2 linked regions of the Ovis aries genome follow. The protein of the gene in region 1 interacts with the protein of each later gene in a pairwise test. Links are inferred from orthologs where the notes say so. Each region holds a gene or a part of one and is shown in the gene's direction. Other genes may lie near its edges. The genes, in order: SNCA and LAMP2.

Evidence for each region.
Region 2: the proteins of SNCA (region 1) and LAMP2 interact in binary tests that used the Homo sapiens proteins (3 or more experiments, as listed by UniProt). The link is inferred for Ovis aries from reciprocal best matches to the Homo sapiens genes SNCA and LAMP2.

What each region holds. Positions count from the first base shown.
Region 1 is NC_056059.1:35,535,234-35,539,686, forward strand, and holds the start of SNCA (alpha-synuclein), read left to right. Parts: upstream 1-1,554; coding exon 1,555-1,675; intron 1,676-4,453. UniProt on the Homo sapiens protein: Neuronal protein that plays several roles in synaptic activity such as regulation of synaptic vesicle trafficking and subsequent neurotransmitter release.
Region 2 is NC_056080.1:104,795,140-104,799,535, reverse strand, and holds the start of LAMP2 (lysosome-associated membrane glycoprotein 2), read left to right. Parts: upstream 1-1,354; 5' UTR 1,355-1,461; coding exon 1,462-1,525; intron 1,526-4,396. UniProt on the Homo sapiens protein: Lysosomal membrane glycoprotein which plays an important role in lysosome biogenesis, lysosomal pH regulation and autophagy.

The sequences.
Region 1 (4,453 bases):
CGAGCGCGGCGACGCGGGGTGAGGTGTGTGCTGGCTTTAGAGCGGACCCAGGGACCGAGCCGCGCCTGCAGCATCCTTGGCGCTCTTCCCCGCTCCCCTCACCCCCCAACCCTTCCCTTCCGACCTTCTGCCTTCTTCTCTCGAATCCTCTCGTGCGGGGGACGAGGAGTGGCAATTCGACGGCAGGTTTGTGGGTTTGCGTCCCACGCTCCCCGCCTCCCAGCGCAGGCTTGTGCTGACAGCCGCCTCCTCTGGGAACCATCCCTCTTCTGGTGCCGCCTCCACCCTTCCTGTGCGCTCTTTATCCTCTCTCTTCCCACTTAAATAACATTTGGGAATTGTTTTTTAAATTTTTTAAGTGGGGGTGGGGGAGAAATTGGAGTTCGTGGAGCCGAGGAAATCTGGTAAGTGCTTGTGGAACTAACTGGGCAGCTTTGGAAGTCGTGGAGAACACCTGGTGGGAGAAGAGTCGTTGCGGGCGCCCCGGGGCGCGCGGGGGTGGGGTGGGCGTGCTGCCGCGAGGACCAGCTGTAGTCGAGCCTCTCTCAGAGGTGAGTGCTTATCCCTAGGGTGAGCGTGAGGAAAGGCAACTGACCTGTTTGCCTCCTGCTTCGACTGCTTCCCTCTTCTCGTCCTCAGAGGCCGAGAGGTCTGGATTCTCAGGGATAAGCTTCTCCTTTGGGAAACGCGAGGATGCTCCAGGGAGTATGAGTATTCAACTTTTGTTTGTCGCTTTCCTTAACCGCCCCCCGCCTCTAGTCCGCCCTCTCTGTTCTCTCTGTGAAGTAAACAAGCTATGTTTGGCAAATCGTTAAGTGGGAGCGCTGAGAGGGCGAGTCAACAGGTGATAAGGGGTTAACAGGTGCGGCGCAGGGTAGGGGGCGGGTTCCAGGCGCTGAGAACGCCCCCACGGGTGGCTGGCGCGCCTCCTGAGGCTTCCGTGGTTGTGAACTCGCGCCCTCCTGCACGCTCTGGGTTGATAGCCCAGGGTCGGGTGCATGGTTGGGTGAATTAGAGCGAGGGCGGTGGGCTCGCAGTTGGCCTGAGGTTCAGCCACACCCAGAGTGAGTGGTTCCTTCCCTCCCCTATTCGTGATTGATCTGTTAGCTGCCTTTTGGAATGTAAGCGTGTCCCTGACCCCCTGCCTTCAGGTCCCTTTCCTTTTCCTGTGATGTCTTCTAAACGCACTTCTAACTTATACTGTCACCATTTGGACCCTGGGAAGTTAAAAGAGGAGTCTATCTTTCCGTGCAATTCCACTTCGGAAACGCGTAAGAACAGCTCATATGATTCATCCTAATCCATGTTTAGGCGGCTAGACTTTATCCAGCCAAGATGGATGGGAGATGCTAAATTTTTAATGCAAAAGCTAAGAAAAGCCTCCTTTGTCCAGTGGTTGAAATGGAGGTACACTTAAGAGAATCTCACTCTTTTGAGGATTCTACTGATCTTTCAATAGTTTTTACTTTGGGTGGTTCTAATTTTGTTTTTTACGCAGAAGTTCTTAAAGTGTATTTTGTCTTCTCCAGTGTGGTGTAAAGGAATTCGTTAGCCATGGATGTTTTCATGAAAGGACTTTCAAAGGCCAAGGAAGGAGTCGTGGCTGCTGCTGAAAAAACCAAGCAGGGTGTGGCAGAAGCAGCAGGAAAGACAAAAGAGGGTGTTCTCTATGTAGGTAGGTAAGCCCTAAATGTCACTTTGATATTTATTTGGGATTGATGGGTTAGGATGATTGATGCTTTAAATGCTGGTATTTCTCACCACTCCTCAAAGTGATGGGCTGAATCAGAGGTGTGTGTAAGTAGGTGAATGTGTGTGTTTGAGCTAATATACAAAGTGGGGCTATTTTGTTTTTCCAGACTATTTAATTTTGCAGTAATATTTAGGACTTTCTTTTTTTAAATGAATGTTTCTATGCATAAGTAACTATAGCTCTGAGGACACTTTTAAAAACTCAGTCTCAGAAAATATTCAATAGTATCTTAAAATCAAACTCCTCCATGAGCTTTTGATTTATCTTCATGAATAATATATGCTAACTTCAGTGTATTCTAATTTAAAAGTAAGACGTTGATATAATCTTGAGATATGTAAAGAGAGACCTACTGTGACTCTAAAAAGAAAAGGACAGACAAGTCTTTGGAGTTACTTCTTGTGACCACTTGGTAAGTTGGGGACTAAGCTCAAGAAAGTGCTTGAAGGCTGCTAATATCTCTGAGACATTTATATAGTTCATTTATCAAATGATACAATAAATTAGATGCTTACTGTTTTTCCTTGTTTATAAATTCCCACATCAGAGTATTCTTGCAGTGAAGTGAAAGTTGCTCCATCCTGTCTAATACTTTGTGATCCCATGGACTGTCCATGGAGATTCTCCAGGTTAGAATACTGGAGTGGATAACATTTTCCTTCTCCAGGGGATCTTCCCAACCTAGGGATTGAACCCAGATCTCCCCAGGGATTGAACCCAGGTCTCCCACATTTCAACTGGATTCTTTACCCGCTGAGCCACAAGGGAAGCCCAAAAATGCTTGAGTGGGTAGCCTATCCCTTTTCCAGAGGCTCTTCCTGACCCAGGAATCAAACCAGGGTCTCCTGCGTTGCAGGCAGATTCTTTACCAACTGAGCTATCAGGGAAGCCCTACTCTTTTTTTTTAATCTTGAACTGTGTTAGGTTGGGTGTTGTTTTACAAGTCACCTGGAATTCTTTGGGTGAAGAAATAGGCATACACATAGACACACACTCATCTATAGGGATACAAACGGGCACATGAGCATACACTCACACACTGCCCATTCTCTTTTCTCCTCTGAGCTTTTCCTCCTTTTCCTCACATTCTCTGGTAGCAGGTGTAGCACCAGTAGCCAAAGGATGAGTAATAAAGTGGAGGATGAGCATAATGGATTGTGTAGAATACTCTGTCTATGTCTGTGGGGTGAAGGAAAGCTATATCGTCTCTTCAATAGAGATGGACTGGAGAAAAGTTATACTTGGAATGATTTTTATGAATATTTCTCATATTTTTTCTCACTGTTCATAGACTTTTTATTTTGGTTCAATCTTACCACAAACCTCTAGTTAAATTACTCTTTATCTTAAAATGTATTTTCAGAAAATCATTGAATTGAAAGATCTTACAAGAGGGAAAAGTCAATGAGTTAAACTCAGTTTTTTTCTTGTGAAATGTGGATTGTATCTTTTTAGGTGGAATTTGGAATACTGAATCAGTGACATTTAGATAATCAGTATTTTTATATTTGTCCTCAGTGTTCCAAGTTGTACAAGTGCATGCTTTGTAACCATTCCTTGATTTCAGTTACTTTATAGCTTAGTTACTTTTAAGATATTTTTAGTTGGATAATATTGATTTATTAGTTTTGAATGAGTCCAAGAACCACTGACTATTAAATTAACATGGTGCTGTTTTCCAGGTAATAAGCAGGATTATCATCTGGAAAACATTGTACTTGTTTTCATTTTCACCCATGAGTTTGGGCAAATAAAATAACAATTTTTTAGAGATTAATTCTGTTGTTTTCTCTGAGATTATTATATGAAATTTCAATTTGTTTATGTATACATATTTTAAAAAATAATCTTCAGTGTTCATTATGGTATTTAACAGAGTGCATTCTATATACTATTTATCAGTTGATATTTTAAAGTCAATTAAAAGTTGAACACAAATACATAATTCAGGATGAAGTATGACCTTGTGAAGTTATAGTACTACCAGGTTTTGGCAAGCTTTTTCCCTAAAGGGGTAGTGAATAATTTTAGGGTATGATGTCTGTTTCAGCTGATCAGCTTTGCTCTCCTGAAGTGAAAGCAGCCATAAACAATAATTAGGGTGACTATGTTCCTATAAAACTTTACTTACCAAAACAGCTGGAGAGTTTATTTGGCTCATAAGCTATAGTTTACTGACTCCTGATAAAGTAGGAAAAAAATGTAGATTTGATGTCAAACTTGAATTCCAGTCCAGACTACAGCACTTTTTAACCTCTAGGATAATGGAAAGGTACTTAACATATCTAAGCATCACTTTACTCATTTGTAAAAATACAGTTTGAATACATGCAAGTACCCTGTAGAGTTCTTGTGAGAACATCATAATAAAGCCGAACCTATAAGTAAAAAGGCATACTTTTAAAAAATTAAAGACTTAATTTTTATGTTTTAAATTAACAGAAAAATTGATATATAGAGGTTTCCCATGTACCCCAAACCCCACACATGCATAACCTCTCAAATTACCAACATCCTTTACCAGATGGTACATTCATTACAACTGCTGAACCTACATTGACACATCATGATCATCCGAACTCCATAGCTTCCATTAAGGATCACTCTTGCTGCAATACATTCTGTGAGTTTGGATGAATGTGGAATGGCAATCCACTCCAGTATTCTTGCCTGGAGAATCCCGTGGACAGGGAAGCCTGG
Region 2 (4,396 bases), on another chromosome or scaffold:
ACAGCCAAAATAAAAAAATAAAAATAATGGCGGGGGGCGCACTTCTGAGCGCTCAACTCAGCTGCCGGTTCTCCAGGACAGAGCTGCTTCCTAGCCTTATTGATGGGGCAGTTAGTTTCACTCATGACACAACACATTCAGTGTTCTCACTTTCAGGAATTAATCACATTCAAGCGAAGGACAGTGGTGGAATAGATCTTAATATTGGAGCAGGAGTGGGTGTTAGGGTGAGAAGTCATAGGTCCTACTTAAGAAATTGTAAAAACTACCAACTTCCTCAGAAAAATACACATATGTAAATCTTGCCTGTAATTTTGGGGGATTCACAGACACCTATCCCCCACCCCTAGTTCATCCATTGGAACCAGATTAAGATCTCCTGGGACTAGATGATTTTGAAGCTCTATTTTCTGGTACTTGAAATGTAGTCTGGGAACCATAGGAATCAGAATCACTTGGAGTTCTTGTTAAAAGAACTGATTCCTAGGAGTGCCACAGACCTACTGTTTCAGAATCTCTGGGGAATGAGGTGAGGATTCTACATGTTATTAAAAATCCCCACATGACACTTTTGGAAACTAACATTTGAGAATCAACGCTTTGTCCCAATTTGAGATCTTTATAATTTTTGAATGCTTTCATTTGTTGAAGAGTTTGGGTTTCATCTGTTCAGTTGTCAACTATACTAAATAATGTGTTTAGCGTGAATTCTAACTAAAGAATATTTACATGTGTATAGGTAGAGGAAAAACAGCTTGTTGGATGGTGTCTCTTTCTGTGTACTCGGAATATGGATGATCCTTTCTTCCCTTGTCCTTCTATTTCTTCCTCATTGTTTTTCTATATTTAAATAAGATTCTTCCTCTTTCTGAGTTCAGTTTCCCCATCTGAAAAACAGGGTGTTGTAACTAGGTGAACTTCAAGGCCTGCTCTGGTGTTCACTGACTCCATATCACCCTCTAGCTCCCTTGTCCTTTTAATGACATGAACTGCATGGGCAACGGTGTTTGGAGAATAATCCTGTTTTATTTCTGTAGGTATGACGTTGCAATACCTAGCAACCATTTTTACTCCAGCAAAAGTATTCTCAAAGAGTCAGAATTGAAATAATCTATACTAGCTACACCCCCAAAAAAAGTTCGTCTCTCCTTAAAAAACCTCAGAAAGGGCCGTCCGCGCGCATCTCTTAGGAGCATAAAAATGACTGTGAACCAAAAAGCCAGGGCGTGGTCACCCCGCCCACTGGGCCCAAGCATCACCACCCCTAGGGCCTCTTTCAAGCGCGCAGATTGGCTGAAGGCAAGAAAGAGCCCCGCCCCTGGTCTTATGACCCGCGCTGAAAGCGCCGAGTCCTGGCTTTTGCAGCGTTGTGGTCGGTGGTCATCAGCGCTCCTATCAGGTTTCAGCGAGCCTTTTCCCTGCTGTCGCTGCTCTTGTCGCCGCCGCCTGCTCTCCGGGATCATGGTGTGCTTCCGCCTCGCCCCGGTTCCGGGCTGTGGGTTCCTTCTCTTCTGCCTCGTCCTGGGTGAGTTGTCGGGCCCTTCTTCTTAGTCCCTGATCCTGGGCCCGGGGCTCCCAGTTCAGAGGCAGTAACCTGAAAGACTGGTCCGGAGGGGAGGGGGTTGAGAGGCTGAATGACAGACACTGGGCGTTGGCGCTTGGCCCGAGGTGATGAGCAGTGACCTAGCGAAGGCCCGACTGAGGGATGGCGAGGGACAAGGGCCCATGAGAATAAAAAAGAGCAAGGGGTGGGGGTGGACGCCGAGGGAGTAGGCAGGGAAGAGTGAGGAGTGGAGCACTGGGGGTGGAAAGAGTAACTTGGGGGCGATGCTAAGGAGAGGTGAGCGTGGGAGGGCGGTACGTGCGGTCTCTGGGGTGGCACGGACAATTAGAGTCCTGGTCCTAGGATCAAGGAAGAGTTTTGAAGATGGTGGGAACCTGTGGGGCGGGAGAGGAAACTGAGGAGGGAAGGGGACTGCCTGCGTGGAGAAGCTTGGGTTAAGGGGGGTGGGGGACAGATAGGGGGAGATTCTGAGGAGCAATAAGAGGCTTGTTGGGGCAGGAGTTTAACGCTGTGGAGGAGGGGTGGTTCTAGAGAGATAAATTGGGGTTTGGTACTTGGAGTGTTGATGGGGAAGGGGGAGCTACGGTGGCTGGGGCAATTTCCAGACGAGAAAACTTCGATGTACCCAATCTCTGGAGACTAAAACGGGTGAATACCAACTTCGGTGGGGAGTGAATATCTGACTTGGAAGTGCTGAGGACATAGTTGTTTATTTTTTTAAAACCAGTTTTATTACTTCCTTCCAGCTAGACTGATTAAAAAAAGGTCCTCAGATATTGAGGTTTTGCGGGTGGTGTATCTGAGTCTTGTACACTGCCACTTTACGTTCAGAAGCTCCTTTTCTTCTCTCTCACACAACTGGCCTGTTACCGCCTGGTTTTCCGAGGAGGAGGAGGAGGGCAGGTCATTTTCTAAGGATCGGGTTTTTACTAGGTCCTAAGAATGGCTGGCTGGCTGGCTCCTGGCGCTGTGAGCGCCCCGTGCCCCACCCCCACCCCCCGACCAGAACGCTTTAGGTCCCCGAGGCCTTTAACTACCTGAAAGGTGAACTTTGACCAGAATTTTCTTCCTGTCCTGATAAATTCTGAGCTTGTTACTACCTGATTCTTGCCGTTTGTGACCTAATAAAAGACCAGAAGGGGCAGACTCAGATGGAAATAGAGAAGAAATAGATACATTAGGGGCTGGGGAAGGGCAGTGAGAGGCACACATTTTGTAATTGACATTTCAGTAGAAGAATAAAGTCAACACGTGGAATGGTGGATTCTCACCCAAGAGGCATTTAGCAATGTCTGGAGACATTTTGGGTTGTTATCACTGGGGATTGCTTTTGGCATCTAGTGGGAAGAGGGCAGTGGTGCGTCTAAACATCCCACAAGGCACAGGACAGCACACACACACCCTCCCCCCCGCCCAATAAGGAATGACCCATCTCAGAATGTCAGGAGTGCCAAAGGATGAGGAGTCTGGCTCCAAAGCTGTGGCGTTGGAAGGGGTCTGGATCGACCAGTGATTCTTAAGGATCTTTGGGGGTGGGGTGGGGGGAAGTTCCTGTCAGATGAAAACTATTTCCAGACTGAAATTAAGATATTTGTCTTTTTCACACTCATCCGCTCCTCAGTACGGTGGAGTTTTCCAGAAGCTATAGAATGTGTGATGACATCACCACCCTCATGGGTCTGACGTGTTTTAGTCCTTTTTTTTTAGTTTTAATTTCTAGTACAGCAAGTAACAATGGATATAAGTCACATAAACAAAGCCCTTTGAGGTCCTCAGTGGATAAGAGAGTAAAGGGGCCCTGATGCCAGAAGGGAATCTAGCTGTGCATTTAGTGCAGGAAAGCCTCTAGCCCTTTTGAAAGGGGCCACGGAGCTTTGCTCAAATGTAATGTGCAGCCTTGACTCCTCTGTGAAGCACTTAGGGAGGCCAAATGACCCTATGAGAGGATTGTTTACAGTGAGAAGCACCTTATCAGTGACTAGAACACATCTGACCAAGGCATCTGGTAATCAGTAGTTCTCTGCCAATTGGATCAGCACAAACAACACTTTTATTGTTCAGAGAAAGGGGGAAAAATTCATTGTCTTGTTGGCTTGCTTGTCATTTTTTTTCCTTTTAATGAAAGCTTTTTTGTGTGCTCTTTTTACAAAAGCAGTACTTGCTCATTGCAGAAAATAAACAGGAGAAAAGAAGCACATTAAAAAAAAGCATCAGCTCATCTGCTAGTTTGCCATTTATTGTTTGGGACTAACATCCTCTTGGAAGATTTTCAAACTCCTGTGTGTGTTTAAGAATTTAGCAATTCTTCAGTTGCTTGGTGGATTTTGCACCTTACCTTTATATATCAAAGTGGATACCAATAATAGTTTTTTGGAAAGTCAATAAAGTATCTGCTGTGAAATTCACACTGTTCTGAGCACTGCAGAGGGTCCCAGGGAGGAGGATTTGTTCCTGGATTTATGACCTCATTAACTGGTAGTGCACTGGTTTCACTTGGTAACTTTATAACTCTCTCCCAGCTCTACCAGGTAGCTCTTTAAAAATAGCTGCTTTAGAGTAAGTATAGAAAGGAATTCTCAGAGCCTGTGTATTGGCCTTTTTCACAAAGATTAAATTATGCTAGTATTTATTGGAATGAATTGACCTGCCTAGAGAACATCTGAAGAAAAGCTACCTAGAGGCGTTAGAGAGTAGTGGATGAAAAACTTTTCCTAGCATCATTGCTTATGTTTCCCCTGTGACATTATAGATTTCAGAGTTCCGTGGTTACTGATTCCCATAACTAGTCTGACTTCTGGTTTTTATAGGGTGGAGGCTATTCTGGGTGGGGAA